Linked DNA regions of Rattus norvegicus. The protein of the gene in region 1 interacts with the protein of each later gene in a pairwise test. Links are inferred from orthologs where the notes say so. Each region holds a gene or a part of one and is shown on either strand. Other genes may lie near its edges.

Evidence for each region.
Region 2: the proteins of Ccndbp1 (region 1) and Pmp2 interact in binary tests that used the Homo sapiens proteins (3 or more experiments, as listed by UniProt). The two-hybrid records come from large-scale screens. The link is inferred for Rattus norvegicus from reciprocal best matches to the Homo sapiens genes CCNDBP1 and PMP2.
Region 3: the proteins of Ccndbp1 (region 1) and Thap7 interact in binary tests that used the Homo sapiens proteins (3 or more experiments, as listed by UniProt). The two-hybrid records come from large-scale screens. The link is inferred for Rattus norvegicus from reciprocal best matches to the Homo sapiens genes CCNDBP1 and THAP7.

What each region holds. Positions count from the first base shown.
Region 1 is NC_086021.1:128,414,941-128,418,690, reverse strand, and holds the start of Ccndbp1 (cyclin-D1-binding protein 1), read right to left. Parts: upstream 2,455-3,750; coding exon 2,355-2,454; intron 2,246-2,354; coding exon 2,186-2,245; intron 1,916-2,185; coding exon 1,836-1,915; intron 1,127-1,835; coding exon 1,045-1,126; intron 1-1,044. UniProt on the Homo sapiens protein: May negatively regulate cell cycle progression. May act at least in part via inhibition of the cyclin-D1/CDK4 complex, thereby preventing phosphorylation of RB1 and blocking E2F-dependent transcription.
Region 2 is NC_086020.1:93,517,709-93,521,458, reverse strand, and holds the start of Pmp2 (myelin P2 protein), read right to left. Parts: upstream 2,730-3,750; 5' UTR 2,685-2,729; coding exon 2,612-2,684; intron 1,514-2,611; coding exon 1,341-1,513; intron 1,183-1,340; coding exon 1,081-1,182; intron 1-1,080.
Region 3 is NC_086029.1:96,985,882-96,989,631, forward strand, and holds the start of Thap7 (THAP domain-containing protein 7), read left to right. Parts: upstream 1-1,392; 5' UTR 1,393-1,425; exon of another isoform or gene 1,426-1,592; coding exon 1,593-1,672; coding exon of another isoform or gene 1,673-1,774; intron 1,775-2,065; coding exon 2,066-2,221; intron 2,222-3,358; coding exon 3,359-3,499; intron 3,500-3,694; coding exon 3,695-3,750. UniProt on the Homo sapiens protein: Chromatin-associated, histone tail-binding protein that represses transcription via recruitment of HDAC3 and nuclear hormone receptor corepressors.

The DNA.
Region 1 (3,750 bases):
CAAGATATTTTTGAAAGTGCCAGTTACATAACCATGATGTCTTGAGTTCAATTCCCAAGACCTACACACTGGAGAAAGGCAGACACACTGGAGTGTACCCATAATGCCAGTGCTGGGGAAGCAGAGGTAGGAGGCTCCCCTAGGGAATCCGTGAACTCCAGGGAAGACTCTCTCATGATCATGTGGAGATACTGGCTTCCACATGTACTCGTATACACATGCATAAGCACCTGAGTAAACACATGCACCCACGTGTGCACATACATACACAGACACAGATAATGAACAATTTTTATAAAGGACCAATTGAGGGGCTGAGGATAAGGCTTGGCAGTTAAGAGCACTCAGTGCTCTTCCAGAGGACCCAGGAACAACCAATAACCATAACCCATAACCCATAACCCATACGGCAGATCACACTGTCTATAACTTCAGTTCCAGGGGAACCAACAACCTCTTCTGACCTCAGCAGGAACCAGACATACATGTGGTACACAGACACACATGCAGACAAAGCACCCGTACCCATAACATAAAATAAAGAATGTAATGTCCAGTTAAGATGGCTCCGCAGGTGAGGACTCGCTGTGCAAGCCTGAAGATCTGAGTTGGATCCCAGGAACCCACAATGGAGGGAGAGAGCCCATTCCCCATGTGTGTGCCTACACACACACACACACACACACACACACACACACACACACACACACTTTTTAAAGAATTAGGTAGGGCAGTAATGATAGGGAAATCACAGTTACATAGCATCTGTACCTTCACATAATGGACTCACTCACTTCCCATATGGAGTGACACAGGTCACTCACATATAAAATTATCTTTGACTTTATTTCACAGGAAAGTCACATGCTCAAAAATGAAGAAAAATAGACATGTATAATGTGTTTACATATAAATATATAATATTACATTGAAGATAAACACATAATGTTTACATGTTTCATGCTTACATATTAGGACACAGTCTACTCCCTTAGCAAAGGTCTAGCCTGTACATCCAACACTACTGTGTATACAGTGACTTACCCTGATCCTTAGGAAATGTGTAGTATGCTGCAATTACTTCCTCAGTGGCAATGTGGACTTGCTCACAGATCCTCTGGGTTTCCTACGAGGTGAAATTCAGAATGAATGGTCAACATTAATGCTGCCAACCCATTTACTAAGGAAGAGATCAGACATCCATAAGCATGATTAAATGTTTTATGAAAACCTGTCATGAGTCAGGCCTTATGATGTACTCTTCCCACAATATAAAGAAATTAGGTAGATACCGGACAATTCTAAAAAGCATTACAAAAGGAAGGGCAGCCTTGGCTATCCTGGAACTGGCTCTGTAGACTAAGCTGGTCTCGAACTCAAGAGAGCAGCCAGCCTCTGCCTCCCAAATGCTGGGATTAAAGGTGTGCAGCAGCAGCAGCAGCAGCAGCAAACTTCTCACTAAAGGGTTTTGTATATAGCAGGTGTTGTTAGATAGTGTGAAGGCATTTAACTTCTCCTCCACTATTTATTGAACCAAGCCTCTAAACAGGCTTACTCATCTGTCAGATAGAGAATATGTATGTGAAACAGCTGTAAATCAACAAGGGCTTTAAAAATTATTAGGAACTAACCCGGCTGAGTTTCAGACTAAATTTAGAAGGTCTTTCTACCCTATGCACTTGGCAATTTGGCCTTTACAACAATCCCATGCGGTGAGAACTGTAATCTCGCTTGATAAATGGGGGAAGTAAGTGTGGCTTGAATGCAAAAGATAAGAAAACTAGAGGATTCTTAAGGAGACAGCACAAAAAAAAAACTCCGGAAGTAAAGCTCACCTGTGGAGATGGCGATGGAATTTTAGAGAAGAGTGTGGTCAGAACAGTGGCTTCCCCAGACACTTTCATTGCTGCTTCATCTGGGGGTGTCAGAGGCAGCGGGTGCCAAAGTTAGTGTTAAAAGGTTAAAGTTGCCACTTGGACTTTTTAGATAACGGGTCCCTTCTCCACCCTTACCAACACTCCAAAACAACTCCAGAAATGGTTTTATATTTCAGCCTCAAGTGCGGAGAATGGGTAGCAGAAGGGATGAGGACTGGGAGGAATTGTCATCTCAGGGGACAGCAGAAGGAAAAGAGGGTAGGATGCAGGGAGATGGAGGAAGAGTCCGCAACGGCAAAGACACTCACTGAGTCTTCTCCAAAACATCTCTCGATTAAATTCCTCGGCTGTCTCCTGGGCTTCGCCGACTTGAGGAAGGCCGGACCACCCGGGAAGCAAAAGACATGTGAGAGGAGCCCTGACCTGACGCCCGACCTCCCTACCCGGAGCCTGGGGTTGCAGATTCCCACAACTCACCCCGTACTCGAGGCAGAAGCGACCGCAGCTCCTCTGCTAAGTGCCGGAGCTGCTCTAGAGGAGGAGCAAGGAACGAGACTGGGGTTGTCGAGCTCGCCATCGCAGCCTCTCTTCGGGAACTAACCCAGACACTTAAGCCATTTGACCCCGCCCCCAGTACTTCCGGTGCTGAAGAACTCATCTCGTTTCCGGCAACACACATCGCGTCCCGCCCCTTCCTCCCCAATGTAGTGAGTCCGCCTTCCCAGGCAGCCTGGCCATCAGTCCACGCCTCCGCCCGCTTAGAGACCCGCCTACCCGAATCCAGCCCATCCAGAAACCTGCCCACGCCCCGCTGGCCGGGCCTAAAGACCCAGCCACGCCTCCTTCACCTGCCCTTGCAAATCTAGAGACTTGTTCAAGTGCTTGTCCCTGACTACCCCCACTACCCCTCCCTCCGTGACACTAGGCCACTCCTTACAGGAAGACCCAGTTAGGCATCTTCTGACCTATTAGAGATTCTTTTAAGTAACGGAGCCTTTTCCCTGCAAAGATGTATGTGGCAGTGCCTGCAGAGGCCAGAGAGGGCATCAGATCACAAGGCCGGGAGTTACACCATGTGGGTTAAGGGAATCGAACCTGTGATCTTTGGAAGAGCAACCAGCACTTTTAACTGCTGACTCCAGCTTCGGTGACTGTTTCTCCTACCCCCAAACACCAGGCCCACTTTCTGGTTCCCATAGGTTTATCAACATTGCAGATCCGTTTGTGATATTTCTTTGTTAATACTTATCTTTTATTATTTTTTTAAATTACGTGTAAGTCTGTGCACATATAAATGTAGGTGTCCACAGTGGCTCTGGCCTGGAACTAGAGTTACAGGCAGTTGTGAGCATCTGACATGGTTGCTAGGAATTGAACTCAGGTCTTCTGGAGGTAAAGTACATGCTCTTAACCACTGATCTCTCCAACCCAATGTTTGTGGTTATCATTCATTCATTTATTAGTTGAAAACAGCTTTGACTAAGGAAGCAGGAAGCCCATAATTCTTGGGAAAACAGGCTTGGAAGTCAAGTCTCAGGAGCGGTAAAGGCCCACTTTCCACAGGTTCCCTAGGCATAAAATGGCATCCTGAATTCCAAGTTTGGGCTGGATGCTTTTCACAGGATGACCCTTAATAAATACAGCAGTGCTGAGGGACTCAGTGACACAGAGACCCCACCCTGGCAATCTCCTTGATTAGGGCTCTTTGCCTCTGAAGAAGAGTCATTCGTTAGACTTTTCTGCAGTCCACACAGCAGGAATCAGTAGTAAACACTTCCAACATTCAGACGTCCAAGGAATGACAGCTTCCTGAAGCTCACCCACTGATACTGGCTTTCCCATCTGCCACTGGGGCAGAGATCTGGGCCACAAA
Region 2 (3,750 bases), on another chromosome or scaffold:
AAAATTGTCACAGTTATAACGCTTAATGTTGGTTGCCAGCTCTGTGGGAGTTAGAATCATCCATCCCAAAGACAAATCAAACCTTCAGGCATGTCTGAGAGGGACAGTCAGGTTAATTGAGGTGGGGAGACCTGAAGACCTAACACAGGCTAAAGTAGAGAAGTGGCCATCCAGGGTCTGACTGAGGGCTGGGCTGGGCACCCGTGTCCGTTTCCCTTGCTTCCTGATGTGCACCACCAGCTGCCTCAAGCACCCGCTATCATGTCTTCTCTGCCGTGGTGGATGGTGTCTCCTCTCACTACAGATCCAGATGAATTCTCTCTGAAGATGCTTTTTAGCTGGTTTTGGTTTCAAGGAGAGTAGTGACTAATATCGAAATGGCTTTCTCATTGGCCTTACCCAAAAGAGCAGCCACATATACTCCCTGAGAGGTTGGGCTTGGTTGATCTATAACGGTGACCTCATGTTGGAACTGCCCTGGACACCTACTGTGCAGCAAGAGCTAAAACCCAGCGCACATGAAAAGAAATGGTCAAAACACTAGAGGACTGTATGCATATTCAGTGTGTGTAATTAGTGAGCACAAACCCATAGTCTTAAAATTCCCTTAGAGCCTGTCTGGCAGGCTTCTTTTCCTCATTCTGATCTGCTGACTGAAAGAAGTCTCCAGAGCTTAGTGCTCAGATTGTGTTTTTGGTATAGTTTAGGGTAAGTTCCTATGCACTCCTGAAAACAAATGGGCTTTTTACTATGATATTGTATAATTGAGCAGACCAGGGCTATATTTTATTTTTGAAGTATAGGCTTACATTTTTGGCTATAAGTTTAAACAAATGACATTCATCGATATTTTCATTAACTTTACTGTCTAGATACTACCACTTAAAAATCTTGACCTAACACTTGTAGGACTCAAACATGAATTTTTTTAAATGGTTTTTCACTCAAGCACTAACCCCTGACTTTATTCTTGGTGTTATTGTCCATTTGTATTCTAAAGAACAAGGACATTTTGAATCAAGCATAATCAATGCATGTATATAGCATTATTTCTGCCTTGAGAACTGGGAACGTTCTTACCACTACCATTTTCCCATCCAGCAACTTTCTCTTTATGGTTGTCTCTTTACCATCCCACTTCTGCACTTGCTTCAAGGAGCCTCTCTCCAGCGTCACAATGCTCTACAAAGACAAATTCATGTGTTTGGCTTAACTCAGTTTCCATGACAGGTATCTCAACAAATCACATCCATTCTCCAAGTTGCTAACTCCCAAAAGGAATAATCCTGGCTCTCAGTAGTCCATTGAACCAACTTCCAAAGAAAAATATTATGGATTACCTTGGTTTTTCTGTTGTCAGCTGTAGTTTCATCAAACTCCTGGCCCAACTTGAAGGAGATCTCTGTATTTTTGAAGGCACTTTCAGTTCTAATGGTGATATAGTCTCCCTTCTTGCTGATGATCACACTAGGCTTGGCCAAATTTCCAAGTTTTCTGTTGGCTAACCCCACGCCTGAAAAGCAAGGCGTTGTCAGATTGTGTTGGGTAAGGCGGCATATCTGAGAGATGGATTTCATGTCCACGGGTTTCTTGTTACTTATTCAGTGTTACCTTCAATGAGTAGATGGTGGGACTTCCTACCAAGGACTTCCACCGAAGGTTCAACAACAAGAAAAAATGCATATAGGTGACACATTCATTTTAGCATACTGCTACAACAGTGATGACTACAGAGTTTACAGCATAACACTATACAGCTTCAAAGTTTGTCCACTTTGTCATGTCCAGTGGTACCCTCACCATAAAATAAGTCATTTCAGATTTGTATGAAGCATTAGAGACATTTGATATTGTGTTTACAAACATGCTTTCAGCATGACTATCTCCCATCCACACATACTTTTCTATATTATTTTCTCTATCAATAGGAGCTGTGGATATACAGTACAACCCCCCTCATATCCTTGATGGAATCACATTTTTGACATTTTGTAGTTCCAAAATTTGTCTGGTGAGAAGAACAAAACAGAACAACCTGTCCACCACACTCTTCTGTCTGTAGTCCCTGCTCAACACTAGGATGGATAGATTTTGGTGGGACAAAGTTTGAACTCACAGCCGCCAACCAGTTCATTTGATATCAACAACTTGCAAAGGTTTCGAGCATCCTCATTTAGGAAATGTGCCATATATCAAACTTCACACACTTAAATGATTAATTATCAACAAACTCAAAGCAGAGAGAGACACAGAATTTTTAGTTTGGATAAAAGTTAAAATTTTAAACTGTGGTTTCCTAGTATTCAATTCATAATCTTATTACCACATTAATTCCTATTAAACAAGCTTTCAGAAAATGCCAGAATATGGAATGACTCAAACTCTAATATTTCTCCCAAATTTCCAATGACAAACCTGTGACACTGTCTTCAAGTTATAATGCACTTAAATTCTAACAATCTATCGCCAATGAAGTGGAAGTAAATTTTATGAATGAGACAGAAGATTGCACTCAGCCCACACAACATTCCTTAGACTCCTGGGGAAAAAACGTTGGAGAAAACCCTGTGCATCTGTCCATAAGGGGACATTTGCCACGAAGCATTCTCACCTAGAGCCTTCATGTAGTCATCGAAGTGCTCGCTGGAGACAAGTTTCCAGGTGCCTAGGAATTTGTTACTCATTGTGATGGATGAGGAGAGAGTGGAGTTCCTAGTGGGATGCAGCAGTTGCCTGTGAGATGCTGAGATCTTGCGCAGTTCTTTTCAAAGAAATCCAAAGCATGTGACTCACACTGAGACCCAATGAGGAAAGGCAGTGGCTGAGCTGAATGATGAATGGCTCTTAACTCACAAGCTGCCTATCCATGGATGAAAGAAACCACCACACAATGTCCCTGTGTCCATGAAAATAACTCAAAGTATTGTTTGAACCTTTAGAATATTTTTTGGCTCATTTTGCATTGATAGGCATGCTTAAGTCCTTCTATATATTATATGATTTTGTGTGCGTGCGTGTGTGTGTGTGTGTGTGTGTGTGTGTGTGTGTGAGCGCGCACGCACTCACATGCATGTGTGTTGGCATCTTATTGACTTTTAATTCTTCACAATTAAGAGTTCTTTTTTCATATTATTTTTATTGATTATTTGAGAATTTCATATAATACACCCTGATCACACCCATTTCTAGTCCTCCCAGGTCTGCTCCCTACCCTTATGACCACTGCCCTTGAAGAAGAAGGAGGAGGAGGAGGAGGAGGGACAAGTCTAATTTGTGCTGTCCTTATATTCATTGAAGCATCTTGATTATAAGTTTTAAGAGCTCTCTTCAATGGTTTTCTGTCTAGGTTGTTACTTTTTTTGGGTGGTGGGGTCGGGTGGGGTAGGGGTTGTCACAAAATTCTTAAAAGGGGAGACAGTCTATGAGTATTGTGATCAGAGTCTCAAATATGCTGTGGGAGGTAAATGGAGGCCTACAGTTTGAGGACACATTCAGAGGTGAGGGAGGCTTGGCATAGTTTACATATTCTGGGCAGGCAGAGTAGGCAGACAAGAAAGTACAGAGTTGTATTCATGTTAGGATGAGAAGCAGCACTGTAACTTGCCCTTTGACTGTGCCCTTTGACCATGGTTAATATTTCATCTCTCTTTAGGAACAAACCTGAGGATAATTCTTAGTTTCTATGACAACCTTGAATTTAAGATATTTTATAAAAGTCCACAGATTTATAGAGAGATGATTTCCTAAAAC
Region 3 (3,750 bases), on another chromosome or scaffold:
GCCTGGGAGGACCTAGCAGCACTGGAGAAGGCTTAGGAAGACTGGCTGTGGATTTCACAGACTCAGAGGCTGAAGAAGGGGAGGGAAGAGTACTGAGTGAGGCTGTGTGGCTGGCAGCCATCCCTTTAGCTCTTCCCACTGTTAACACTAAGTGATGCTTTTCTCTGTATTAGTGTCTGCACTGAGGCATTACTTTTACTGTGCACTGTACTTTAAAAACAAAACAAAATTCCCTGTCTAGATATCCATCTTTCTTAGAAGGACTAATTAGCCAATTCGTGAATTCCTCTGGGAGAAACACACGTGTTCTCTCTACATTACTAAGCATGTCTGTACACTCAGTTAAAAGCTTCTAATTAGGGGCTGGGGATTTAGCTCAGTGGTAGAGCGCTTACCTAGGAAGCGCAAGGCCCTGGGTTCGGTCCCCAGCTCCGGGGCGGGGCGGGGGGGGGGGGAGAGCTTCTAATTAGATAAGAGAATTAGGGCAACAATGTTACTGTCCCTCCCACCTCACATAAAGTGCATAGAAGTGACTTTCCCGGTGTCCTGTGAGAGGGCTGAGGACAGAGGCAGTGGGGCTCCATCTAAGGGCTGTAAAACCCAGTTCCTGCTATGCCATTTCTCCATTAGTTTTCCTCCACGACTAGCCAATCATTGTATGTCCCAGACTGTACTTGGAGCACACTGTACCCTTCTTCCTGTTATGGGAGTAAATTTTGAGCACTGGTCTTAATTTTAAGAACTTAATCTAAAATGAACCCTCCAAGATTGCCAGATAACACAATAAAGTAAATGGTAATAAGAGATGCTGCTGCCTGGCCCAGCTGGAAACTCCAGGGCTCAGAACCTTCCCACCTCGGTGGTGGGAAGGCTCAAGGCCTTTGTTTGCAGCGCTCTGCCTATGCAGTTAATACCGTCACTCTAAGAATCCTTGTGTCTTTACATTTTATTTTGTGCATATGTATGGGGACCAGAGGACAATTACTGGACGTTGGTTCTCTCCTTCCACCAGGTGGGTCCCGGGGATCAAACTCAATCTTCAGGGTTGGCATCAAGTGCTGAGCCATCACACCAGCCGGGGTGACCGGGTTCTTTGAACAAAGATTTGCTCAGGTTTTTCTCAACCAAAGTGTCTCAACCATGTTCAAGAAGCACTACAGATCGCACCCCACTGCTTCGTCCTAACGGCGGGCTCTCAGCCATTATCTTGGACACACAAGGAGGCGAAACGACTAGTCCAGGAACGTGAAATCAGCAGTGACGATCCCCGCCATCAATCCCAACATCCGGTGGCCCGCCCCGCCAGGATCTCTTCCGGTCCCGCCCCTTGGGGGCCGGCGCCACGGGCGTCGGAGTCTCTCTGCTACCAACTTCCGCATTGACCCACCCATCGCGAGATTTTGGCGGCGCAGCAATGGCAAGACCGTGAGTACCGCTGACGGGAGTCTATAGAACGAGTTAGGACAGGACTGGTGCGGGGTCGGGCCGCGGGGAGCCGACAGGCTCGGGCCCTCTGGAGGGAGTGACAGCTGGGCGTGAAGACGGTCCTCCCCCGACTGCCGCGCATCACCCAGATCCCGCCCCTTCCCCAGATGCCGCGACACTGCTCCGCCGCCGGCTGCTGCACACGGGATACACGCGAGACTCGCAACCGCGGCATCTCCTTCCACAGGTCAGCGCGCGTGCGTAGTGGCACGCGAGGGCTCACATGCGCAGGCGCTTGGTGTTGCCGCACCTTAGGCCGCGCAGGAGACAGCGCTTTCCTGAGGTCGAAGTGAGGCTTGAACTTGTGAGCGGGAGGGTTCTAGGGGAGGCCGAATAGTTTCCAGTCCAGCCGAAAAAGACTGGACGCTTACCTGGCTTGGATCTACAGCTCTGCCTCATTCCTACTAGATGATGCTGAGCAGGCCCCTTTCCTTCTCTCGTCCTCAGTTTCTCTTTTTTCCCTAGCCCGTGGTAATCTGAAAGGGTCTCGGGGAGGTCTGTCATTCTTGCCTGGGGAGCTTGGGCATCCTGAACGCAGGGCTGTAGACAGTCTGGTGCTCACGGTTTTGTGGCTCTGCAGACTTCCCAAGAAAGACAACCCCAGGCGCGGCTTGTGGCTGGCCAACTGTCAGCGGCTGGACCCCAGCGGCCAGGGCCTGTGGGATCCGACCTCTGAGTACATCTACTTCTGCTCCAAACACTTCGAGGAAAACTGCTTTGAGCTGGTGGGAATCAGGTGGGTCTTTCTGCCAGCCAACACCAGGACAGGTTGTGAGGCATCAGAGCAGTGGGCCAAGTGAGGCAGCTCTTTGTCCTGGTGAAGTCCATGAACATCTGGCTGGCATGCTCACAGACAGGCAGACCGGTTGTCAAGGGTGCTGTTGCCTCTTTCCTGTTCTGTACAGTTAAAGCATGGTCCCAGAATCACCGTGCCAGTGACATCAGAGAAAAACAGCTTTTCCAGGCTGGGGAAATAGCCCTCTTTGCTAAAGACTTGGTGTGCAAGCACGAGGACCTGAGTTCAGATTCAAATACCCAAATAAAAAGCCACATGTGATTGCTTGTTCCTTTAATCCCAATCCTGGAGAAGACAAAACAAAAGGATCCCAGGGACTTACAGAAAAGCTAGTCTAGATGAGTTGTTGAGCCCTGTGTTGAGTGAGAGACTGTCTTTAAAAAATAAGGTCGAAGGGCTAGAGAGATGGCTTAACCATTTTAGAGCACCTGTAACTCTTACCGAGGACTGGGGTTCAGTCCACCGCTGAGGGCATGGGTACACATATATACATGCATGCTAAACACTCATATACATACATAGGGCTGGCTTAGAGGTTATGAGCACTGACTCTCCTTCCAGAAGACCCGGGTTCGTTTCCGCCCTCCAGCCCCCTCCCCAGTGGCTTACAGCAGTCTGTAACAGTCGGGAACTGGTCCATTACCCTCTTCTAACCTCTGTAGGCACGCATATGGTGAACAGTCACATAGGCGAAATGCTCATACACGTAAAAATAAAAAATGTTTTTAAGGAAAAAATCTTTAAAGACAAAGGTGGTGGATGATTAAGGAAGGCACCTGAGGTTAGCCGCTGGTCTCCACTCGAAAGACAAGCAGCTTTTTCGTAGGATGTTAGCACCTAGGCCTTCCAGCTGGTCCGCCTAGCCCTGCTGCTGGGTTTTCCACTCACCTCAACCCTGGAGGCTCATTCACAGGGAAGAGGAGTTTGATTTCACCACACTTGGCATTCCTCAGATGTGTTACTGGCAGTGTGCCTCGGAGCCTCTCTCATCCTTAGTGCTGCAGGACCTACATTGGGAATCCAGGGGAGATGGCAGCCTTCTTTTCTCTAGCTCATCTGGGCTGCTTTTCCCCACAGTGGGTATCACAGGCTGAAGGAAGGGGCAGTCCCCACCATATTTGAGTCTTTCTCCAAGTTGCGTCGAACAGCCAAGACCAAGGTGCATGGTTATCCACCTGGCCTGCCTGATGTCAGCCGGCTCCGGCGTTGCAGGAAGCGGTATGTGCTGCAGGACTGGGGATGCCCCACCTCACCCAGGGCTGAGGGTCTGGAGCGTAGGGTGAATGCCAGCATCCTCCTTGAACAGGGCTCTTGCTATCCAGACCCAGTGAAGGGGGCTCAGATGTTAGGGAGACTAAATGGGCTAATGAGAGGAGCCTGGCATGCCTTAGTTTCTTTCTGTCTCCCCTCCAGCTGCTCTGAAAGACAAGGACCCACAATTCCATTTTCTCCACCTCCTCGTGCTGATA